Daphnia pulex: one gene and its partner. The protein of the gene in region 1 purifies or fractionates together with the protein of each later gene. This does not show direct contact. Links are inferred from orthologs where the notes say so. Each region holds a gene or a part of one and is shown on either strand. Other genes may lie near its edges.

Region 1 (2,951 bases):
TTGGAGGTTTCAAAAATGGGCAATGGGATGGAATCGTTGGGCAGCTTCTGCGAAAAGTAAATTTTTTTGAAATATCCAGTAAGAATTTCTTTTACTACAGATTTTTTATCATTAAGGAAGCTGATATGGGGGCTAGTTTGAATGCCATAACTTACGCGCGATACACCGCAGTCGATTTCAGTGTCCCTGTGATTTACGATGTTACAGGAATACTGATTCCTTTTCCAGATGAAACTTCAAAAATCATGGCGGCCTTTCTACCATTCAGCATAGAGGTTATTTTCATTTTATTAATATTAATTGAAGTAATTAATATTTCATTCTGTAGGTGTGGATAGCTTTCATCTCCTCCACCTTTCTGGTTTACTTTACTTTATTAATTGAAGGAAAGATAAATTCGAGCAGAAAAAAATTTGGAGACCATGCAATGTGGGTTGTAGGCATCATTACTGGTCAAGGTAACATTTAAAAAAACTCTGTAATTAATAACTATTAAAGTAAGCTATAGCTTAAAAACTAAAAAGTCATGGAGACCAAAATAATGGTGCATAGAAAAAGTGGTTTTAATTGCAGGAAAAAAATAAAGATGAGCATACATCATAAGTCACCACATTTACACTTTTGCCTTAGCTTGAACAGGTAAATAGAGTTTGAATTCAGCAGGTAATTCATCTTCAGAATAGAGTCTGTCAGAAAAGTAAATGCGACGAATTCTGCAATTTGCATGAATTTGAATCCTTAAAGTTTCGACGTAATTTGTTCCGTAAGCACGCCTTGTGAAGTCAGCTAAATTAAATTGGATCTGGTTCCATCCTTCATCAAGCCGCATAGGCATAGTGCAAATGAAAGGTTTCACTCTTGTAGTTGATTGATAGTTGCTTGCTCTGAATCTACGTCTCACATTTTTATCATCTAGAATCTAAAATGTTTGCAAACTAAGTAATTATTAAAGATCAATGCATGTGAATTATATATCACTAACCTGAACTTCAAAAGTGAAATACTTTTTCATGTTTTTGACAATCATAACAAGATATGGAAGTTTGATTCCAAGAGTTTTCTTTGGATCAGCAGGGCATGTAATGTATGTTGTTGAAACATTAGTTCCAACAATTTCTAAGACAAGGGACTTCATATTCATAAAAAAATCAGTTAATTTCTAAGTTTAACGCTGCTTTAAACTGTTTTTTTTTTTTTACCTGAATATCGTTGTCAGTTATTCGCTTGATATGACCGTTTCGTACGATTTTGTCCCAGAGCTGCAGAGGTTTACTTCCAATGCTATAAAGAACGGATAGAAATCCACTTTGAAAAGTGTTTTTAAACATTTTGCCGGTTTCAACTATGGACTTATTAGGCTAGAACTAGACTAAGAAATAAGTTTCGAGTAAAATCAGTTGTTTGTGTCAATTGTGTGTTTATTCAATAAACAAACGATCGTCATAGCAACGCACCGCTGCCAGATTTTTTCGCTTCCAAGTGCATATTGAAATAAATTTTTAGATTATTATTTTATTTAGTATTTTTTGTTTTAATTCTAGTTTGAAAATAGTTGGAGTAATTTACTTTATTGTTAATTATAATTGTTTTTCCTCATGCATAAAAGGTGTTGGATATAATGAAAATCGCTTGGGTTTGCGTCTTGCAGGTGAAACAGTTTAATTTATACGATTTCTTGAATCTTTGTCATTTAAAATATTATCTATTTTTTTGTTTCATTTCCTTAATAGCGGCCACATGGTGTTTAACGATGGTAGTATTCATATACGTTTACACTGGGGTGCTTACGGCTTTGTTAGCTGTTCCCAACTACGTTCCTATAATAAATACTTTAGATGAATTAGCTACGAGCTCCACCATCAAGCCGGTCACGATTAAGAGTACCGCAGTCGATGATATCATGCTGGTTTGAGATTTAAGATATTCCAAACATTGATATCAGGGTAACGGTTTTTATATCTTTATTCAGAATGCCAAAAATGGTACCTATAAACTAATCGGCGACACCTTTCGCAAATACCCAAATGAAACTTTAGTAGCCAACACTTTAATTGGTGTTCAACGTGCAGTCGAAGGAAAATATGGATTTTTAGAGGTAGGCCAAAATACAAAAGTACAAAATTTCAGCAAGTAGATTGGAGCTGCCACTGTAATCAGCATATCTGAATACGTATTTTTAGCCACGAATGTCCCTTTTGTCGCTGATGGAAAACGATCGCAAGGAACACAACAGTTGTCGTGTAACTTTGGCTAAACAAACATTTTATCCTCGTGCTTTCGCATACTTTTTGCCAAAGAAAAGTCCGTTTAAAGATGCATTTGATCGACAGTAAGTACGAAATTTATGGGGTGCGGAATGAACACTTTTTCCAAAAAAAATGTTCAATAATCGATTACCATATTTGATGTGAAAACAAATTGATAATCGATTTGAATATTGAAATCAAGTTGAAAATATATTCAAAAATTGAAAACGTTTTGAAAACGATTTCATAAATTGAAAATGATTTTGAAAAATGAAAACGATTTCGAAAAACTAAAATGAATTTGAAAAACTAAAATGATTTCGAAAAATGAAAACGAATTTGAAAAATGAAAATGAACTTGAAAAATGAAAATGAACTTGAATATCCATACAATTTCGGGAGTGCGATATGACACCACCCTACTCTATCCCCAGCTCTCTCCGGATGCTATAGCCACCCCGAGACAACCGACTAGCCATTGATGGCTATGTCGCTGATTCCAGCCAGCTAGGCCGTCAGCGATACTGTCAGCCCTTGCCGGGCGGTGCTGGCCACCGCTGCCGCCACAACGGCAGCCGCTAAAGTCTCTCTCGACCGCAGACCGAGTATTACCCTACACAAAAATAGGTTACACGATCCAACGTGTGAAAAGTTTCATGTTCCTGCAGTAAATGACACACAGCCTACCCAGCAACGATGAAGACG
Region 2 (4,416 bases), on another chromosome or scaffold:
TAATTTTTTTTTTAAGTTTGAAAGCTAAATCAATCGTAATTTTCAAAAGGAGAATCTCATAGCATCACCCCCACAGGAAGCCAATATATGGAATGGTCGCATACTCCGATTCAGATCATCTAAAAGTAATAGAATAACTCACATTTTGCGATAAACTCCTTGATTTTTTCCTGATTCTTTTTTTCTTAATAGGGTGTTTCGTCAACAATGCAAGGTGTCCTGAATGATTACTGAAAAACCCGCGATGCCACCCTTAATTTCTTTAATTCATCATGTTTTTAAGGACTCGATTGTTGGATACCGAATTCAATATATTATTCTAATGCCACCATATCAAGGTTGATTTAGAGACTTTTGAGTGACTGGAGATAAATTGGATTGGAGTTCTAAAAGAAGTTCCTAAAAAATTACTCAGGCAAGATTCACATTTATTCTATGACGTCATATTGGGTAGGTGGGTGTGTGGTAGAGATATATGAGTATAGAAAGTATGAGTTGAGGTTGAGGCGGGGATTCAGCCCAAAAAACTTTAAATTAATTGTAGTCCAAGATCTTTTTTTGTTGGACTCCCAGCCGAATCGTCTCATCACAGTTTATTAACCCCATCTCTCACCTTTTCAAAGAAAAAGGTTTTTGATCAAGTGCCAAAAAGGAACCTCAAGCTTCGCCGGCATTTTCTTGATTTAATTCTCTTCTCAACTCACCGCGGTTAGACTCCACCTCTCCGGAGTCCGGACCATCTTTGAATCATTGGAACTCATCATCAATCATATACATGAGCAAGTTGCAAGTTTATTTTTTTAATTTGAAATCCAATTGAAGAAATACTTAGCAAATAGATTTATTTGGGCTGTCTTATTTTTTTTTGAAATTTTGCTCGAGCAAACGCTTGATTTATTTTGAAGTAGTCTTACCAATCTTGATGTGGTATAATTGACTACATATATTTAACGGTAAATGTCGTTAATTGACTTTGTTCTTCACTTAGTTCACTCAATATTGCGTTAATTTCCAATCTCACATTTAACCACTAGTTGTAGTTTAACGCTAGCTTGCATCATTAGACATCGGTAAACCAGGAAAATTGTTACTCTTCTTGTTACCTATTCGTATTTTCCATAAATTAACGGACCATTTTATTACTTAATAAGTATTCTCTAAGTTGAAATTGAGAAATGTGAAAGCTGTGTGACGTACGGTTAACCTACAAAATGTTGTCGAGAGAAAATGCTGTAACCATATGCTCAAAAGATAAAAACTAAAAAGGAAAAAAAAATCTTTTCCTATAACGCTCATTTTTCCACTGCAGTTACTGATGTAAAAGCTGCTAATACATTAGAAAGTTGGACTGTCGAAACGACAGGAGTCGGGAGAGAAAGTTTTGATATTTTGAAGTTTAAGGCCGAGGGTTTGGCGTTTTGCATACATGCGTACATGCGATTTGTTTTGTTTTTTGTTGCAACACCTAAGGCATATAGTACTTGTGTGATCCGCTTGGTGGCTCCTACCAATCTTGTAGAGTATTTTAATGAAGGATGATTAGTCTGCTGTTACTTTGAAGTTTTTCAAAAATATAGAATTGTTGATAATAAGTGAGTAAAAACGTATTCTATACAGTTCAGAAAGTATAGGATTCACTGAAAACGAAGATTTCGACCCATCAACATGTGGCATGAAGCACGAAAACAGGAGCGTCTCCTGAAGTCTATGTATGTGCAAATGGCATTAGATGTCCTTGGCTTTCTAATTCTGAGCTCTTTTTCAATTTAAGGATGGTAGATCACCGAAGGCGAGCTGAAAGGCGTCGAGAATATTATGAGAAAACAGTCAGTCAACAATATAACAAGCTTAATAATTTTATTTTTTCCACCCACAAAATTTAAAAAAAAAATTAATGCTACAATTTTTAGAAAGGAGATCCTGCCCAATTCCTTCAAGTTCATGGTCGCCCCATGAAAATTCATGTTGATCCAGCAATAGCAGCTATAGCGGACAGTCCTGCTACAATGTATAATGAGGGCTCTAAATATCTTGGATCTCTGTACCTATTAACTTTGCCCAAAAAACTTACTTTTACAGGATGCCTTGGCAAGGACAACCAGAAATCTTGATTGACCGGTTTGATGTTAGAGCACATCTAGATGTTATTCCTTGTCGCCCCCAAAAAGATGACAGCGACACTGATCAGGATCCTGGTGAGGAGGTGTGGGAAGAAAGACAAGCGAGCTATGAAAGATACAGAATCCTTGTACAAAATGAATTTATTGGAGGTAAGACATCTCTCAAAGTTCTTAAGATACATTTAGAAAATAAAATCAGTTGACTGAAATCACTCAGTGGTTTGTATGGACAATAATTTACATTTTTCAAAACATGCCAAGATTATGCCTTATTGTAAACTGTATTAAACTGAATAGCTTATGCATTCTCTTCACGAAATTGTGAATATGGTAAGACCGATCCTCTCCTGGTGTTTCCTCCAAATAGTGACCGGGAATAGGCGCCCCTTCAGTTAATGTTGCTGTCACAAGAAGTAGAATGATGAATTTTGCTATTAGTGCACTCTGAAAAGAAAAGGGTGAATAACTTGAATATCCAGACTAAATTTTATAATAAATATTTATTACCTTAATCCGGAATGGACAAGAAGGACAAGCTTCCCTGATCTCCATTAAAAAGCTCTATGTTTTCACCATCAATCGCAAAGAACAGCAAATAAGTTTATTGTTCGATCTCTGTATTTTAGTCTGTTTTTCTCCACTTTCCTGGAGAACAGAAGCTGTCATCACCATTGAAGTTTAAAAGAACAGGTTATGCCGCGATACCCCCAGAACTGAGATTGACGAAAAACAGATTCCGTAGATCTTCTTTAGAAAGTAGGAATGATAATGCCACACTGGAATCCGTTCTTGATTATTTCTTTTCGTTTCGTCCTTTTTTTTCTTGGCACTAAAATCGCGCTCTCTCTGACTAACGAGACAGTTGGCGTTTTCACTGTGCAAGGCCGCTTAAACTTCAACCACGCTGCTCGCTTTCTTGAAGACGAATGCATGCGAACGGTACCTCCGTGTTTGACAAAACCCTTTTCTCCTTCAGCCTTGTCGATTGCGAGAGATAGCAATAATGAATGTTGACCTAGACAGAATATATGTAAGAACTTGTAAGGCCTGGAGGACTTTTTACTTTTGTTTTCTATGCTTTCTTTTCATTAACTAGTTTTTTGTGTAATATGCATTTTTAGTTTCAGAGGAAAAGTTTCTACATCAAATATTGCTTGAAGAGCAATTCGGACCAGTTCAAAAGTTAGGTGAAGAGGAAAAGAAAAAAATGCTTGCGCCGAAGAAAGCGGCCATTGGGTTCACTTATGACGATTCCACGCCATCCTCGTCAGCCGCAGCATCAACTTCGCATAATATTCCCGTGGTTCCTCCCGAAGCGACTGAAGAAGAAGAATCCGATAGCGACATTGATTTGGGTAATATTAGTCAAATACAATCAAATAATCGAAAATATCTGTGAAGACATTGATGATCTCGTAGATTTATCAATTGCTGTCGATAAATTGACAACTGAGCAAATGCACGAAGTCAACAAATGTGCACTTCACTATGGGTTAGGCCGGCAGGACTTCATGTCACTACTCACTCGTGATTTGGATGAGCAAGAGTCATTACGAATCGCTAAAGAGGAAGAACAAGAACGGGCCATGTATTCTGTAATATTGTAAAAATATTTCAGGTTTAGTTTCTAATAACTAACTATTAGACAAAAAATCCTAGGGGAGAAAAGCAAGGAAAGAGCGACGGGCGTTTAGAGAGCAAAAGCTGCAAGCATTGCTTATGAATCGATGTCTGAGTCCTCCAAGGTAAAATCACCCTGCATAATTTTACGTTCATATTTTTGAACAATTTGTTTTTTCCTTTCTTATTCAACATTCTTGTTTGCTTCGTTTTCTTTCGTGATGTTTTTAGTTACGCTACACGAGCTAGCCCAACTTACGATGGACAACTTCGCCGCTCGAAATCAGTGTCCAAGTCACGTTCTCCTTCACCCTTCGAAGGTGGAATCAAATTTATCACATCTTTTGGTGACGAAGATTCGGATCCAGGAGGGAAAACAATTAGCTCTCGGTCTCCGAACAAAACTCGCGATAAAGATTTACCAAATAAGCGGCCATTTGCCTCCACAACTTTTTTGGCTCGAGACAGGGGTGGTCGTCCTTTAAACAGTGGTCGTGACACAACTAAAGTAAATGACAAACGACATTCCCGTTCGGGAGATCATCGTGCCAGATCCCCATCACCTTCCATTTCTAGATCCAGAAAAGATAAAAAATCCGGATCTTACTACAAAAATGAGCGTTCTAGGTCTCGCTCTCGCCGAAGATCACGTTCACGTCATCGTTCCTCACGTTCG

Evidence for each region.
Region 2: the proteins of cilia- and flagella-associated protein 20 (region 1) and CLK4-associating serine/arginine rich protein-like purify together in Homo sapiens (affinity purification with mass spectrometry; 3 studies listed by BioGRID and IntAct, counting the BioPlex papers as one, with this or other methods). This does not show direct contact. The link is inferred for Daphnia pulex from reciprocal best matches to the Homo sapiens genes CFAP20 and CLASRP.

What each region holds. Positions count from the first base shown.
Region 1 is NC_060020.1:7,305,764-7,308,714, forward strand, and holds cilia- and flagella-associated protein 20, read right to left. Parts: upstream 1,440-2,951; 5' UTR 1,329-1,439; coding exon 1,200-1,328; intron 1,130-1,199; coding exon 983-1,129; intron 920-982; coding exon 614-919; 3' UTR 540-613; downstream 1-539. Other genes in the region: glutamate receptor ionotropic, delta-2-like, read left to right, coding at 1-275, 329-458, 1,607-1,648, 1,731-1,906, 1,970-2,095, 2,181-2,329. UniProt on the Homo sapiens protein: Cilium- and flagellum-specific protein that plays a role in axonemal structure organization and motility. Microtubule inner protein (MIP) part of the dynein-decorated doublet microtubules (DMTs) in cilia axoneme, which is required for motile cilia beating.
Region 2 is NC_060022.1:6,846,593-6,851,008, forward strand, and holds the start of CLK4-associating serine/arginine rich protein-like, read left to right. Parts: upstream 1-1,420; 5' UTR 1,421-1,665; coding exon 1,666-1,709; intron 1,710-1,771; coding exon 1,772-1,826; intron 1,827-1,910; coding exon 1,911-2,008; intron 2,009-2,079; coding exon 2,080-2,270; exon of another isoform or gene 2,271-2,564; intron 2,565-2,627; exon of another isoform or gene 2,628-3,080; intron 3,081-3,241; coding exon 3,242-3,475; intron 3,476-3,539; coding exon 3,540-3,715; intron 3,716-3,779; coding exon 3,780-3,865; intron 3,866-3,971; coding exon 3,972-4,416. UniProt on the Homo sapiens protein: Probably functions as an alternative splicing regulator. May regulate the mRNA splicing of genes such as CLK1. May act by regulating members of the CLK kinase family.